Linked DNA regions of Saccharomyces cerevisiae S288C. Changing the gene in region 1 together with any one later gene gives a genetic interaction. Each region holds a gene or a part of one and is shown in the gene's direction. Other genes may lie near its edges. The genes, in order: RCM1 and BIT2.

Region 1 (4,000 bases):
GGTAAAGTAACGAAATTAAATTCGTCGCTTAAATAGTGTTGCTGTTGTTGACGAATAGCCTTCTGCAGAGGAAAATTTTTAGATATTATCGAGTCGTTAATAGGTTCGTTAAAATTACAACCGGAGTTAGCATGTCTCCTTCTAAAACAGTTCCAATACTTGGACTGTAACCGAATTACTTTGTCTATCATTTCTATGACCTCAGGCTTGGGATCACTTAATGGATCAGGTAGTTCATCAGGAGGCTCCCCTATTAGTACTTTTGCTACACTCAAAGCGCTTCTTGCAATCGCATCCAAGTTATATCCACCTTCCAAAACTACACAAAGATTACCTCTAGCTAGAGATTTTAACATATGTGTCATGTGTCCATAACAACTTGGGGTGACATGACATTGTCCGATAGTATCACCATCCGCGGCATCAAACCCTGAAGAAATAATCACCAAGTCAGGCTTGAATTCTCTCCCCATAGGCATAACTACCTGTTCAAATGCCCACATATATTCTGCATCACCAACACCGCCGACCGGCCAAGTAATATTACAATTGAATCCTTCACCCTTACCCTCACCAGTTTGATCATATTGTCCTTGGATGGTCCCAGGATAGTATTTACCCATTTCAAATCTGTGTAATGACACATATAGCACCTGATCGTCTTGATAGAATGACTTTTGTGTGCCATTACCATGATGAATATCCCAATCTAAAATCATTATCCTTCTTACACTTTCTGGGTAGTTCTTTAAGATATTCTTGGCAGCAACAGCAACATTACTGAAGAGACAAAAACCACCCGCAGCTTGAGGCTCTGCATGATGGCCAGGTGGTCTTACGACAGCTAGAGAGTTTTTTACACGCCCCTCGACAACCGCCTTGCATGCTTCAATGGCGCCACCACAAGGCAGCCTAGCACTCGCGTAAGAATCATTATTGAAATATACGGAATCACCTTTTTCAGTCTCTTTTAATAACTCTTCTCGGCTCATTTTTTCTGTGCTTTCAATAAACTCTAAATGTTCCTTTGTATGAACTTCCAAGATTTCTTCGGAGGTTGCGGCTCTTACAGGTATCTTCAGCATTAAATCACCAAGGTCATCCACGCCGCTTAAAGTGGGGTCGTTAATCAGACCATTCTCTGCTAGTATTTTATAAATACGATATATTCTTCTTGGGTCCTCTGGATGTGGATCAATGTACTCGAAGTACGATGTGAAAATCTTTGCATGATACCTCATTCTAACGTCATAGCAAAGACCAGTTTTCAGCGGTGAATAATGGATTTTTGGCATGCAAACGGGAACAATAACCTGCCTTTTACTTTTAGAAGTAGTAGAGAGGCTATTCTCTTCTTCTTTGTTCTCTTCTAGCTTTCTTTTTAAATCATGGTCTGGATTTTCCAGTACTTCTTTCTTAACCATTACAGAATCCATGCTTAATCTGTTCGGCGTATTACAGTGCTCAACTTTCCCTTTCTCAATATTTTGTTATGTGAATTAGGTCACTAAAAATTAAAACATTTAAGAAAAATAAAAGTTCCTTCCACAGACGAAACACTGTATATGCTTCCTCCCAGCTCTATTTACCTAATTAGTGACCTGATTAAACTTTTGGAAAGAAGCATTTTCCTCGAGATTTCCAAACGGTGCGGGAAAATGGCAAGTGAGGAAAAAAAAAACTGGCCTAAAATATTCGATGAGGTTAAGAGAAGAGCTGGTTCTTCACCAAGTGTTTCACTGAGAAGTTAGCTACGAAAAAGCATGAATTTCTACAGGGATGCAACATGGGTGCTAGAAGATATTGAGAAGGAGGCTGCAAAAGAAAGGATTTCCGGCTCTATGCAGACGCTGGTACTGAAAAGCTGTAAAAGATATAAGCTGAAAAGTAATCCAAAACATATTTATGCAGTTCTCGATTCGTGTTGGAAATATAAACCATATTTGGAGAAAGTGATGAAAAAGGCACACATATTGGAAGATATACCCAAGAAAAAGGGCAAACCACTCTTTTCAAGGCTAACTTTGTTATTGCTTTGCCATGATTTGCTGTTGTCTAAGCAGAAAAGAATTCAAATGGGCAAACACCCCATCAAAGATTATGTTTTGAAGTTTAAGAGCCCATTGCATAGCGAAATGGTCAAATTGAAACTCAAATTGAAAGTAAGAGAGCTATCTGAGTTGGTATTAAGCGAGGATATTTCCAATGACCTTCCTCCTGTTAGATGGATTAGAATCAATCCATTAAAATGCCATCCAAATGGTGAGACTGAGCCGGTGTTAGCCGAATTGAGGAAGAAGTTTACTTTAAAGGTAGACAAATGGTCTGAACTAGTTCCTGGGTCTATCTATTATGATGAGTTTATTCCAAACTTGTTTGGAATTCATCCGTCTGACAAAATTACAGCACATGAGCTTTATAAGCATGGGAAGATTATCATTCAAGATCGTGCTTCTTGTTTTCCAGCCCACATTTTGAATCCAGGACCAAGTGATATTGTGATAGATTCCTGCTCTGCTCCAGGTAATAAGACTACCCATACGGCCTCTTATATATATCCCGAACCACCGAAGGACAATAATACTCGAATATACGCTTTCGAGAAGGATCCTGAAAGAGCAAAAGTTTTACAAAAAATGATCAAGATAGCTGGCTGTTCTCCCAACATCAGTGTCAATGTAGGTGATTTTACAAAGCTCGCTACTCCTGAAAAATATAAGGACGTTACTTGTTTTATTGTAGATCCGAGCTGCTCCGGTAGCGGTATATTTGGTCGTAAGTTTTTTGACTCATTTAATAGAAGGAAAATTGATGATAAAGATGACGATGGTGGCATTGTGCCGGATGAGCAAGAGGAGTTTATAGCAAAGGAAGAACTACAGACAAGGTTAGCGAAGCTGAGTTCATTTCAGTTCCAGATGGTAAAGCATGCAATGAGTTTCCCAGCGGCTAAAAAAATAGTATACAGCACATGTTCCATTCATGCGGAAGAAAATGAACGAGTCGTCATAGACCTTCTTTTAGATAAGTCAGTTAGAGAATGGGGTTGGAAAGTAGCGCCAAAAAGAGAAGTTATTCCTTCTTGGCCTAGAAGAGGCAAGGTAGAAGAGTTCGAAGAGGTTTTTAGAGATGGAGTCACCTATGACCCTCAACAGCTTGCCGAGGGTTGTATCAGGGCACTACCAAAAAGTGACGGTGGTATTGGTTTCTTTGCTGTCTGTTTTGAAAGAGATTAAACTTTCAGAACATTCATGTATATATGTGTATATCTGATATGTATTATTGCATTTTTGCTGTAGTACTACGGAAAAGACATTTCAATAATCTATACATCCCGCACATAAAGGAAGATTTTCGGGTAATATACTATTATAAAAATTATCGATGAGCTCTGTGAAAAGGTCGTAAATATAAAAGTTCTTTCTTGCGACAGTGGCAACAACCAAGTGAAACAGCGTGAGACGAGACTGCTCTAATCTATTTGCAGTCGTAGGCATTACAAATGACCGAACATGAGTCTTTAGGCCTGGAGCAAAATCAAGACGGCGGTGACACTTATAGACATCACAACCTAAGCGATGGGTGTATTTCGAGTGTTGAAGACGCCAACGAGCAGCCTAGTTCGTATGAAGAGGAAAGTGATGATGATATGCAATATTACGAACGTGCGATCCAGGAAATTTCTAGCGGTGACTCATATGTTTGTATGATTTGTACAGTAGAGATGGATTATACGTGCCAAATGTTTGCTTGCAAGAGATGTTATAGAGTGTTTGATTACGGATGCATAAGAGAATGGGCGTTAAAATCAACGGAAAAAACCGTAGATAGAATATGGAAATGTCCAAACTGCTATTATGTTAGCAAAAGAGTTCCGGTAAAAAATCGGCCCACATGTTGGTGCGGTAAAGTTGTTAATCCTGATCCGAATCCGCTGGATCCTAACTCATGTGGACAAACCTGCAATGCTTCTACTTGTATGCATGGTTGTTCCAAAATT
Region 2 (3,977 bases), on another chromosome or scaffold:
CGCCAAAAACTTCGATATCATGTTAACTACCCATTCCGGATGCTGAGGCGAATATATCGGGTCGGCGATCAATATGACGTCAAATTCATTTTCATGTCCAAATTTATCTATAAAATCGTGAGGATTAGTCCAATCTAATATCTCTGCTTGAACGAAATCTCCTAAATTATTTAATGACACATTTTTCTTCAAATTCGTCACAATCTCGGGTAAATCCGTCACGAAGATTTCTATATTTTCAGTTCCATAAAGTTCTTTCCATTTTAAGGCCCATGAAAGTCCTACTAAACCAGTGCCCGCTCCTAATTCTAATACTTTAATCTGTTTGATGTCGCTGTTCGCTAACATGTTCACATTAGTGGTATGTAGGTAATCCAGGTGATCTACGACTAATTGTGAAAGTATTAAAGATGATCCCCATGTTTTCCAACCAAGATTATCGGCCGTTAAAGAGGGTTCATGAAGCGGTATGGAAGTGCTTAGATTTCTTAATTCAAAATATCTTACTATGGATGGTTGGGCCGTTCTCCCACAGTTTTCGGATATCCTTGAGCTCAATTCCTTAAGAAGTTCTTGTATGATTTCCTCATTCAATCCGCAACTATTATTGTATTTTTTCAATACACTAGTATAGTAGCCCAACAGTAGTTCTTTGGATACTGTAAATCTCAGCATTGGGATTTTATTGCATATCTTTTCCAACGAGTTTAACCTCTTGTTAGGCCATTCTTCTGTATACCAAGTCAAAAGTCTTTTCAGCAGATCGGGTTCCAGCCCATGACTCTTGCAAACCTCCAGTACAGATTTGTTCTTCCCTGTCTCCTGATTGAAGTTTACTTGTCTATCGGGCTTCAGAAGTATTAGTATACAAAGGATAACTTCTGGCGGAGCATACTTCACGGAGGGCAGATCCAGATTATCGATAATGGTGTCATCGTCGTCACTCTCTTCTTCATCTACAGCCGTTAATATTTCGTCACGTTGCGGTGAGCAAGGATCTTTTGGCTCTCTCTCTGCTAGATTGAACTGTAAAGCCTCAACCTGGATGTCATCAGGGGTGTACAAATCGAGAGGATCAAACATAGTGAAATATCCGCTATGGAACTCCTAACTTGCATGAGTTAGATACTTGAAAAGTAATATACAGATTGCACTACTATTATTTTGTAGCTCATCGCGAAATTGAAGAAAAAATTTACGATTGGAAAAAAAAAAACTACTATCAGAAATAGGTGAACCAATTTTAATGCCTGGATAGAGCTGCATACGCTACTAGCTTAAACCAATATTGGTGTCGCCTGTTTTCCTTTACCCAATCCAATATACCACTATACTGCGAATGAAGGTGTTGAAATAATTTGACAAGAGCACTTTATCCATTTTGCATGCGACCTTTACTAGCAATTTTTCAGCGATCTTTGCGGGCTTTAAAATAAGGTCAAAATTAAAGGGAGAAAGATAGAAGACAGTAAATAAAAAATACAAACCACAATAAGCATAAGTGGCTAGGCGAGTCTTAAACTACAGAGTCAAGCAATGGCAACAGACCTAAATCGTAAAAGAAGTGCTACCTCAGGCTCACTGAGCGTCACGAACCCGAACATAAAAGCAACTAATCGCAAACCAGCTAGAGTTTATAGTGTTTCTTCTGATATAGTACCGCAAGCGCTGACACATCCCGACGAAGATGTGCATCTAAAAACATCCAAATCTCCTCATGATGCCGCTCCTAGATGGTCACAGGTGGGGTTTCAATCTATATTCCATGATGGTTCCAATGCAAGGCGCTCGACGGATTCGATTGAAGAGGAGTACAGCCAAGGCACGGAGAATAACGATGGTCACTCCGAAATAGGTTCATCAAGTAGTAACCGAATGGAGGGGAACACCACGTCTAATGATAGTTTATTTTCTTCCAACTCAAGGGGCAATAAAAGGCGACTGTCCATCTTCACCAATTCAAAAGATAATATGAGAAATCGAAGCAGGAGCGGGTCAAAAAACTACGGCACTGTTATTACCGGCACAAGTAGTAACAACATAAGTAGGAGTGGCTCTAAATTGTTTCATACGAAATCTAATATGAGTGTGAACAGTTTACAATCTTCACTGTCTACAGGACATTCTCATTCAAACAAAGGCAGTAATGTCTTTAGCAAAATGGCAAAAAAGCTTTTACCCTACAAGCCGCATAATTCCATTGGTAAAGACGACGTTGAACCCGTAGTTCCCAGCCCATTCAGTAAATTTCTGCATTCTTCATATGGTAAACATAGGTCACCCGTACAGTTTATCCATACTTCTACTGGAGGCCTTATTGACTCTGGAAAATCTGTATATTCCTTTAACCCTAGCATTAACAACAACCCTAATGATACAGCTCTATCGCTGATCCAAGATGATGCTTTCGACGCGACTAATGTTTCTTTACTACATGATTTACTGAAAAACTTGCCATCCTTGATAGCAAACTATAAAAGCTTCACCGTACAGGAGTTATTTGTTCTGGAGGGGAATATCTGGGGTATATACTGCAGCATAGTTGTGGAGCTATTTAAAAACAAGAGGGTATGGCAATTGCCAGCAAAAATAGAAGATATTGACCGGCTGCTGGAATTTTATATCACTTTGAAAACACAAACCAAGGCTGCCGTAACGCACTCAAGGTTTTTGGCCGAAATCGAGGAATTCATTACCACTTCACTTTACATTTTAGAGAACCAGATTGTGTTCAATTATGCCAATGAGGATACCGTAAATACGGCTTTGAAAAGAGTCGGCATAATCTGGAAGGTGTTTTACCAACAGGTTTACTACGACATGATGGCAGTGTTACTGCCCTTCGAGAAAAGCTTCCAAAAAAATAGTAACTACTGGCTTGACGGATATCTATCTGAACCTTCAAGGTACGCACCGTCAATTGATGTCCTTTTATTAAAGTGTTTTAGAGACTCCATCATTCTTCCGTATTACGAAAGCTTCCTACATACAAATGACGGTGCCAGTAAGAGTTTTCAAAGATATATTTTCAGCGAGGAAGAACAGAACGGCGTCACAGAGGAAGATAAACTGACGCTGCTGCAGTGTTTTGGGATCCTGAATACCATAAAAGGTAACAGCAGAAACCAAAGAATTATTGGTGAACTTCTTGAGGGCATACGCATGAGTATATAATTAAATATTTTATTTAGTAATATACAATAGTGGCATATAGATAGGTGTATTTCCTTTTTCTTGTTCCAAGAATCCGGAAAAACAGATGCTCTTTTCCGCCCTATAAAGGGGCCAATGGGGAAAGTGCAGATCATATTAACTTGCTAAAGAGTCAGAAAGAACCAAATAATAAAAAGAAGAACTAATGTTGTGCGCCATCAAAAGCACAGGTTATCGGTATCCTCGCACGGGAGCCTTAAATCTACTACGTGGACGACCATTTAATATGGCCACCCGAAAAATAACTACTGAAAGGATCCCCGGCCCTCCCAAGCTGCCAAGAGAAGAGCAGGAAGAGTTCGAAAGACTTCAGAGGATTGCCACATCGCAAGAGGCAATAGATCAGTATAATGCGCAGGCCACCGGCGATCGTACAAAGGAGAGTTTGAATTCACCGCTTTTAACCAAAAACGATATTGGGTCATTCTCGCCTGAATTTTCCAAGACCATACCTGAATTCGAAGGTGATGTTAACCCCAAGACTGGTGAAGTTGGGGGTCCCAAGCAGGACCCGTTGAGACACGGCGATTATTCGTTTAACGGAAGAGTAACGGATTTCTAGATATTTGGTCCGGCCAATTTTTAATAATACTATTCTTATTTGATGAAACTGCGTAACGTTCAATTTACTTTTCAATATGTATGTTGTTATGCTTTATTTTGAATATATAATATATATATGTGTGTGTTATGAAATGCATACGTTTCATGTTTGCCTAAAATCTCTTTCTTGTGAGCGTCCTTCGAATTCTTTTCGAGTATGA

The links.
Region 2: mutations in RCM1 (region 1) and BIT2 together harm fitness more than expected from each alone (negative genetic interaction), as found in Saccharomyces cerevisiae (2 studies listed by BioGRID).

What each region holds. Positions count from the first base shown.
Region 1 is NC_001146.8:590,663-594,662, reverse strand, and holds RCM1 (rRNA (cytosine-C5-)-methyltransferase RCM1), read left to right. Parts: upstream 1-1,763; coding exon 1,764-3,236; downstream 3,237-4,000. Other genes in the region: histone deacetylase HDA1, read right to left, coding at 1-1,436; FAP1 (Fap1p), read left to right, coding at 3,503-4,000.
Region 2 is NC_001134.8:741,958-745,934, reverse strand, and holds BIT2 (Bit2p), read left to right. Parts: upstream 1-1,536; coding exon 1,537-3,174; downstream 3,175-3,977. Other genes in the region: EFM2 (S-adenosylmethionine-dependent methyltransferase), read right to left, coding at 1-1,083; SDH8 (Sdh8p), read left to right, coding at 3,359-3,775.